Rattus norvegicus: one gene and its partner. The main gene of each other region encodes a partner of the protein of the gene in region 2 in a complex. Links are inferred from orthologs where the notes say so. Each region holds a gene or a part of one and is shown on either strand. Other genes may lie near its edges. The genes, in order: Izumo1r and Izumo1.

The links.
Region 1: the proteins of Izumo1 (region 2) and Izumo1r are in contact, whole or in part, in a crystal structure (PDB 5JKC), measured with the Homo sapiens proteins. The link is inferred for Rattus norvegicus from reciprocal best matches to the Homo sapiens genes IZUMO1 and IZUMO1R. Residues at the interface, in NP_872381.2 of Homo sapiens: Met75, Val77, Tyr134, Val141, Leu146, Trp148, Lys150, Asn151, Lys153, Glu155, Val156, His157, Ala158, Arg160, Lys161, Ser162, Tyr163, Asn239, Ser240, Ser241, Pro242, Ile245; in NP_001186135.1 of Homo sapiens: Lys42, Tyr44, Glu45, Ile48, Leu58, Trp62, His65, Leu66, Asp67, Gly80, Leu81, Leu82, Met83, Pro84, Gly85, Arg87, Ile91, Met145, Ser146, Tyr147, Gln171.

Annotation. Positions count from the first base shown.
Region 1 is NC_086026.1:20,026,606-20,031,206, forward strand, and holds the start of Izumo1r (sperm-egg fusion protein Juno precursor), read right to left. Parts: upstream 2,974-4,601; 5' UTR 2,919-2,973; intron 2,862-2,918; exon of another isoform or gene 2,491-2,861; intron 1,720-2,490; exon of another isoform or gene 1,704-1,719; 5' UTR 1,701-1,703; coding exon 1,563-1,700; intron 1,008-1,562; coding exon 819-1,007; intron 70-818; coding exon 1-69. UniProt on the Homo sapiens protein: Receptor for IZUMO1 present at the cell surface of oocytes (oolemma), which is essential for species-specific gamete recognition and fertilization.
Region 2 is NC_086019.1:105,226,429-105,230,670, reverse strand, and holds the start of Izumo1 (izumo sperm-egg fusion protein 1 precursor), read right to left. Parts: upstream 3,069-4,242; 5' UTR 2,847-3,068; intron 2,154-2,846; 5' UTR 2,076-2,153; coding exon 1,841-2,075; intron 1,231-1,840; coding exon 1,156-1,230; intron 372-1,155; coding exon 285-371; intron 1-284. UniProt on the Homo sapiens protein: Essential sperm cell-surface protein required for fertilization by acting as a ligand for IZUMO1R/JUNO receptor on egg.

The DNA of each region.
Region 1 (4,601 bases), on a different chromosome or scaffold from region 2:
TTCCTCACAATCCTCCAGGCACAGTGGCACGTCCCAAAGCCGCTGCTCTTCCTGCCTGTTTGGCACCACCTAGGTGCAGAAGAGAGGGGCAGAATTTAACTCTTTACAATGTCTGTATTATTTCTTCTATGTGTCCGTGTGTTCATATTCTGTAAATGCAGGTGAATATGCACGCATGCGCGCCAGCAAGCGCACGCACCCGTGCGTCTGCAGTGCCCAGAGAACAACTATTGTTCTTCAGGCCTCGTCTACACTGGTTTAGATTCTCTCATTGGCCTAGAGTTGACTAAGCAGGCTAGGCTCATCGGCTAGCAAGCTCCAGGGACCCTCCTTTCTCTGCCTCTGTAGTGCTGGGATTACAGCCGCATATCTCTACCCCTGGCTCTTTTGTGTGGGTTCTGAGGATTGAACTCAGGTCTTCACACTTGTGTGATGAGCACTTTACTGACTGAGCCATCTCTCAGCCCTAGGTACCACCACCACCACCACCACCACCACCACCACCACAATCATCATCAGATAAAAGAACCGTGAGGCAGAATGGCTATCAGTCCCAGGTCTCACAGTAAGTACAGATGGCTAGATTCATCTCATCCACCCAGCCTTATCCTACTTGCCCTCTTCAGTAGTGTCTGCCATGCTATCCTCCAGAGACAGAGGCAGTCTAGCTTCCTCTTCATCCCTTTCTCCAGCAGAGGCCTCTGGCTCTGCTCCTATCCCTAGAGGGACAGCATCTCCTGGTCCTACTTGCCTCCTGTAGATGCCAGCCTAGGACTTAATGGAAGGGTGTTGCATGGGTCTGCCTCCTGTCTCCTCACCGGCTGGATCCAAGGCCCCAGGTTGGGGGAACACTCATAGAAGCAGATGGCCTGGATGAAGTGCTTATGGCAGAGCGGGGTCAGCAGTCCACAGTGCGTCATGCTGAAGTTAAAGAGCAAGGGCTCATCAAGGTGGGCTTCCCAGCTTGTGTCGCGTGTGCAGCAGGCATTGTCCTTCCAGGGCATGCACTGAGGCGGGGGCAGAGGCAACAGACGGTGGGTAAGAGGCTGGCTTGGGTGGCTTGGGCAGAAGGGTATCAGGAGAGGGGACGTATGAGCACCTCTGTAGAGGAGGGACTCTAGCATCTGAAGAATGAGGTGCACCTGACCACTGACCTCCTTCCTCCCTATCTTCCTGCCACAAATATAGCTTCCTGCTATCAGCTCCAGGGAGGTAATAAATCCATGAAAGAAAATAGGTTCAGGAACCTGGGTCAGTATGATGGGTGGGAGGGACTTATAGTTGGAATTTAGGAGACTGGAAAGGACACAAATCAAGGTCTATGACTCGCCATGTTGACAGGAAGGCTTGATCTGATCCATGGTTAGCTAACATATCCTCCGGGATCACCACATGACCTGTTTCCCAAGCAGCCAGAGCAGCTCAGCAGCAAAGCCCTGGATGGACCCCAAACTAAGGAACTGAGAGATCAGGGGTGATGGGGTGCAGAGACCATCTTGCCTGTATTCCTTCTCCAATAATTCTAAGAAGCCTCCTCAGCCCCTGGGCCAGCTCCTCTGTACCTCAAAGTAGAGCTTGTCTTCTGGGCCAGGCTCTTGCTTGTGGTGCTTGGAATTCATGCAGACATTGAGCAGCTTGCCCCCGGCCAAGCTGGGCAGGACTGTCCACAAGCCCAGGAGGATCAGCCACCATTGTGCCATGACCTGTTGAGAGGGGAGCCTAAGGTAGAGAGGACATTATTCTCAAAGACCAAGAAGGTAAGACCCACCCTGCTCCTGCCAACCTTCAGGCATTGGAGAGGGAGTAGGGGCTCCAGGGCTCCCTTAGGAACCCTGAAACACTCTGGCTGCTCCTAGAACCTTCTGTGTAGAGCAACATCACAGAACGTAGAGTATGACTTGGATCTGACACCCCAGTACAAACCATGGTAGAAACGTAGACACCAAACTGAGCAATAAGAGGAAAGAGAGAAAAAAGAAAAAGGAAAAACAGACAGACAGCTCTGAAGAGGAGGGCAGGTGGGGAATGTTTTCAAGCTGTGTTCACTTAGATGCGGTTTTGCTAGCTCAGTAATATATGGACTGGGAGTTTAGAGCTTTGGGCCCAGCCCGCAGACAGCTTCTTGGCCAAGTGACCAATCCCAGTAAGCAGATTCTCCTTATGGCCAAAGGATATGGTGGGATGGGGTGGTTGAGGCTGGCCTTAGCTTTCTCCGTCACGTGCCAACCCTAATTCTAGTCCCTAGGAAGGGTCCGCACCAGGCTATGGAGCTTCTCGGAGTAGCTCATCCCCACTCTGTCCCTGCAACCGCTGAGCTCTCTTTAGCTCATTTCAACCCACCCCAGTCTATCTCAGAGACACCCTAAGTGTCAGGCCATAATAGACAACGCTAAGAATCCTGCTGGCCTCTAAGGGCTGGGAGCACAGTCAGGCATGAGGAGCTGAGGAACCTTCCATCTTTAACCCTAGCACGGGAACATGGAGGCTGGCTTGTACCTTGGTGTTTGCGGATACATTTCCAGTTCTCTTCTGGCTTGTACTGGCAATGGGTGGGGGTGGAGAGGATGGACAGAAAGATGTACCCTCCCACCCCCGGCTAGAGCAAGGGTGCACCCTGCTCCAGGAGGGCTCCAGTCAGTCCTCACTGCCAGGTCTTCATGGCTCCTATGGCTCCTAGGCCTGCTGGGAGCATGCCCTACACATAGCAGTTTAGCCTATGTCTACCTCAGGACGTCTGAGATGTGGATTAGAGAGAGACCCAGATTCTACTGCAGAACCCACCCCGACCTCGAAACCTACGGCTGTTTTCCCACAGAGCTCCAAGTTTGCACAAAGAACAACTCTTCTCAAAGACCAGGAAGGTAAGATAGACAAGAGAGGAAAGATGTCAGTCCTCTCAGCGTTGTCTTCAGACTTACCCTCAAGGCAGGGCCCTCTGGTTGCTCTTCCTGGGCCCAGAGAGGTGAGCAGGCTCAGGGCACTCCACCCACTGGCCTTTTATTGCCCTTCAGCTTCTATGAGCTACAGGTGCGGAGAGCAGCAAGTAGCCAGACCTAAGCATCCTCCATGCCTTCAAGATAGAAAAACAAGACGTTTCGGTACCAGAGATCCATGCAGTGGACAAGTTCAACTCTCAGCGCTGCTGCTAACCTGCGAGAACTTGGGGATAGCTTAGATTCTATCAGTCTAGTGCTCTGTAATGAGAGCTGTTGGCAGGGACTGTCAGGAAAGAGAGATCACGAAAAGGTCACGGCACAAGGATGTCTTAACAGTTCCTTCATCTTTTGTTCTCGGAAGCGCGCTCTTCCTCTCCAGTGTTCCACGGGGCCCTTCTTCTGCTCAGCTCCCTGGGGCCCCTGGCTAACAGCATCCTCCCACAGCATCCGGAGCTAGCTTAGCAGCGCACAGGTGCACAGACAGGCAGCCTGGAGCGCCAAGGATTTAAGCAAAAATCAAACCTGAAACAAAAGCCGCCCCTCAGCCCGGGCAGGGACCGTCTGCATTTGTACCCGGGGCGTGGTCTGACCGCTGCTCCAAAGGTTCTGTAGGAGGTGATGCCTGTAACTTTACTTGTCTTTTATGTTCTGCCTCCAAAGGAGAAGTAGCCAAAAATCACTGAAATTTCATACAGAAACATAGTAAATAAATAAATAAATAACCCTCCCGCGTTTTCCGCTGAGGAAGACAAAATACAGCACACGATGTTCGGCTGCCAGTCAGTGTACAAAGCATATTAATTATGTGCAGGGAAAATGGCAGTTTCCACACGCGGGTACAAAGTATTGAACATCCAGAAGGACTAGTCATGGGACTGGAGCCTATGGCACTGGTACCCGGTCTGGCTTACTGCCTGCAAGAATTCCCCCAAATGAGCACTCTCTTTCAGATGTAGGGGAAACCGAGGCTCAGATAGAGGTCCAGAGAGCTGGAATCTGAACGAGGCTTGATTGACTCCATATTTAATGCTTATGGACCAGGTGAGGGAGGGGATCACCTCCAGGACCGAGGGGTAGGAACTGTCCAGGTCTTTTTTAAAAAGTTAAACATCACAGTCAGACTGGGATTAGGGGGGGGCATGTGCTGGCTTTAGGGGTTGGAGACAGAGCGGTGATGTTTATCAGCCCAACTTCCATGTGCTGTCTCCCACAGAGCTGAGACTCCCTTCTGGAAATCAGAGGCCAAATGGGAAGGCATTTCTGCCTCAAGGGTCTCCTTGTATCGGCGTCCACAGGGACAGCAGAGACGGGGACTCACACTTGTTCTGAATAGACACCCAGGGAGCAACGAGTCTTGACAAGTAAGCGATTTGGAATTGAACATTAAGTTTAAAATGACTGTGGATGTGGCAAGAGCAAGAATCCAGAAATGAGTCACACTCATTACTGGAATGGAAAAACGTCCTTCGCAAGGAGGGAGAGGGACAAGGAGGACGGCAGCGTTAGCCACCTCCAGGACAGAATTGTAGGAAACGAGTCAAAGTCGCGGCCAGCATGGGCGCAGGTGGACTGGGGGAGGGGCGATCGCAGAGGCTGCCTTTCGGAGAGCCTCCAGGCCAGGCATCTGTCCCTGGAGAAGCAGTTTGAGGCCCTTGAGCAGAGCTC
Region 2 (4,242 bases):
TCAGCACTAAGCCCAAGGTGGCCTCAAACTTGCAATCCTCCTGGAAGTACAGGCTTTACTACCATGCCCCAAAGGGAGGAGTGCATGCTGAACAGAGAGGTCTGAGATTTAGGAGCTGTGGGGCAGGTAGGGAAGGACCTGGGCAAGGTGTTCTTGGGAGTGGAGGCAGAGTTAAGGAACCCAAGGGTGTGTGTGGTGTGTGTGTGTGTGTGCGTGTGCGTGTGCATGTGTGTGTGTGTGTGTGTGTGTGTGTGTGTGTGTCCTGGCCCTCCATCTTCCCTCACCTTCCTTTTGGAAACGTGCAACAAGGGTGGCAAAGATGTCCTTTTGCAAACGAAGCATCCAAAATAGCTCCTTTACAAAGAGCTCTCCTAGGAGAAAGCAGAGCCAGAGAAGAGCCCCCCAAACTCAGGGATGAGGTACAGCTTAGCATCCCCTATACTGTGGCTACCACGACAAGTGACCTCAGACTCACCGTGTAGCTGGGGGCTATCTTGAACACCTCATCCTTCTGCCTCCATCTTCAAGGGTACACCACCACATCCAACATCCCGACCCCTCATTTTTTTTCTCTCTCTCTCTTTTCTGGGGTCTTACCATGTAGTCCTGGCTGGCCTAGAACTTTCTGTGTAGACCAGGCTGCCCTCAAACTCAGAGATCTGACAGCTTCTGCCTCCCCAGGGCTGGGATTAATGGTGTGTCCCACCACAACCAGCGCCACTCTCTTATTTGCTCAGAAAGGATGTCATTCTGTTGTCCTAGCTGTTCTGGAGCTCTAGGCTTAATCAGCCCTCCTGCTTTAACCTCCTGAGTAGCTAGGAGCGCACGCATGCCCCCCCTGTCTGGGCTGGCATTTCATAGTCTAGCCCTTCAGGGGAGAACAACAAGACCAAGCACTGAACACAGAGCTTGCCATTGGGTTATGAAATGCACACGCGTTACTTCACTCAATCCTCACGGCCAGTGAGAGAGGAAGACGCTCACCTCCACGCTGAGGCTGAGGAAGTTGCCAGACCCCAGGCTCAAGGTCACCTGGCTAAGAAGTTGCAGAGCCAGAGTGGCTCTCAAGCAGAGACACGGATCTTCGCATCTGCTTTAAGTTATCACCAGCCATGATTTCTCTAAGGGTCTGCCCATATCCTTGGGTACATTTACCTTTTACGTCACTGTCCGTGATACGTTTCAGATCCTTCAGAAAACTCCAGGATGCTTGTTCCAGTGTGTCCTCATCTGTGTGTGGAGGGCAGATATAGAACCCCAGACTCCAGCTTTTCTAGCTCATTGGCTTGCTACCTCACAGAAAGTACAATACCCGTGAAGCCCTCGGCCAAAGAGAGACCTGGTTAAAGGCCTAACAATTTGCCTTCTGGGAGTTGTAGTTTTGTCATACGAACTTGCTAGACCCTGTACTTGTGAGCTATGGAGAAAGACTTCATGATTCTATATCCGGAGACTTTTCTAATATCTATTAGATAGATAGATAGATAGATAGATAGATAGATAGATAGATACATAGATACATAGATACATAGATAGATACATAGATACATGATAGATAGATAGATAGATAGATAGATAGATAGATAGATAGATAGATAGATAGAGATTTAGAGAGTATGTATCTCTGCCTGTCCTGGAACTCACTCTGTAGACCAGGCTGACCTGGAACTCAGAGATTTGCCTGCCTCTGCCTCCCAAGTACTGGGAATAAAGGCGTGAACCACTACACCCAGCCACTTTTTCATTCTACCTACAGTCCCTGTCACCTGTAGAGGAGGACTTCTGGACCCAGCCCTTCTCCCAGGCTGCCGAGGTCTGCATCATGGCCTGCCCTCCTTACCTACAACCCCCAGAAAGGTATTCTGATTCAAGGGCAGATCAGCGAAGTTCCTCACTTCCTGCTCTACCCTCTTCATTACATCTTCGTGATGCTCGGGCGCCAGGTGGGTAGGCAGGTAATTCTGCTCCAAAGTCTTTATTGCAGCCACCACAAACGGGTCACATATGATGCAGAGCCTTGCTGGACACAGGCAGTTGGCAAGAGCTGCCAGCAAGAGTGTAAAATGTAGCCCCATGGAGGCCAGAACGCACAGCTTGCCAGCACCGCCGGAGGAGGATTCTCTCACCCCAAACCAAGGGCAGGGAGGAGGGTGCTAAACAGAAGCCAAAATCAGTCTTAGAGGATTCCAAAGCTCAATATGAGGATCTTTGAGATATTCCCAAGTAAAAGGAGATATCGTTAATCAAAGACCCAAAGTTGTGAACTCGGACTCCTGGACCTCAAACTTTAGGATCCTCATTGCATCCCTGAAAACTATTAAGCCAGATCCCAAACTCAGGACCACCTCCATCCTCACCCCATTCAGACTTCCAATCCAGGGGCTCACTCCCCAGCTACCCCGAACTCTTATATAACTCTGAACCCAAGAATAGATCAACATTCAGACTTTCAAGCCCGGAAAACATGTGACACCGCAAACTAAACATTCAATAGTCAAACCAGAGAAACAAAAAAAAAAAAAAAAAAAAAAAAACAGGTAGCAGCACTTGGGAGGCTAAGTCAATACCACCGTGGCCTACTTGAGACTGTCTCCAAATTAATTAATTAAATATATAATTAAATAATTTATCTAACAAGTAACCAACGTGGATATTACCAACTTGGATAAACTATTCAGGACAAAAAATTTTAAACCCCAAATCCTTAAAGCTGACACTTGAACCTACAAAAGCTTCATCATGCCTCCAAAGCCATCCTCCAGTCTCTGGGGCACCTGTTTACTTATTCTCAAGGTTGAGACCCCTAGCTTTCAGGACAGACTCTTTTCAGGCCCCCCCCCCAGTACCTTAAACAACACCCTTTAATAGCTGTTCTCCAACTCCGAGCCTTCAAGCGCTGCTTCGCCCAGCTCAGGTTCTGAGGACTTTTTAAAATACTTTCTCACGACTAAGAGTTGTTCCTGGGAGACTGGGAGAGGAAATTAGTGTTTTTCTACTGACTCCAAGAGTCATTTGTCGTCCCCTCTTCACAAAACACTCGGGCCACATCCCACATGTGGGACCCCAATTCCCTTAGAAGTAATTCTCAGGCCTCCGGCTAGAAATCCAACTCTTAAGTTTGATTGGATTGCAACAAAGCAGGCCCCGCCCATCCTACCATGACGTCATAGGGTGGCAGTCCCTTCGTAGAACTTTCCCAGCACCTACGGACCGGAACGGAAGCCGGTAACCTGCTCTAGCCTCCTTTCGTGTCTTCAGAGACCCCAGGTTTCTCGCAAGGTGCCCGCTGGTTGACTAGAAACCTTGGTGTCCAGATAAAGAGATGCGGGAGTCTCTAAACGAGTCTTCTAAACTAGGACTACAACTCCCAGAAGGCACTGGAGCGTCTCTTTATGATCTGTCCCAAAGCATGGAAACCATAGTTGATAGTGATATTCTTCCCTTCTTGCCTCAAGCCCAGATAAGGAGGGGCCTGGATCCAAGCATGGTGACCCACACATGTAGTCCTGGCACTTGGAAGACTGAAGCAGGAAGACTGCCACGAATTCCAGGCCAGCTTGGTCTACAGAGCGAGTTCTAGGCCAGCATGGACTACAGAGACCATCTCAAAATAAGACAAAACATAGGACAGGTCTGGTGACCAGTACCGAAGTTTTCAGAGAAAGGAAAGTGAACCACAAGTCCTGCAGAAAGGGTTACCAGATCTGACTAGCTACTGTATCCGTGAGTCATGAACATGAATGTCCCCGGTAGACACACACACACACACTCACACACACACACAGTTTTATTGTGTTGCACACTCACACATGCATTACACGGTCAGCTCCAAAAAACATCAGATACATGTATTGGCGATGTGGCCCTTTAATTCACAGCCCCCTTCTCTAGCTTGTACAGGCCAAGTTGGGGGAAAGGCACAGAAACTCCCTGAGAAGAATAGAAGTTGGTCTTGGAAGGGAATACAATTAGATTAAATGCTATCTGAGGAAACTTTCTCCGTTCTTGAAAAAGCATCAAGTATACCTGATGTCAGCCAAATGTCCCATCTTTGCTTCCAGCCCGTGTTTTATAGGGACTTAGGCTGAGCTCACAGTTCTGGAACACCTTCTGATCCTTCACCCTTGACCTTCTCAAAGCCGGATTTAAGATTTTGTGAGCCCAGGGGTATACCCTTCTTTTCTGGAGGCCTGGTTACCTCCAGAACACAGATCCCAGATCCCTTATAGCATCTTCAGAAGA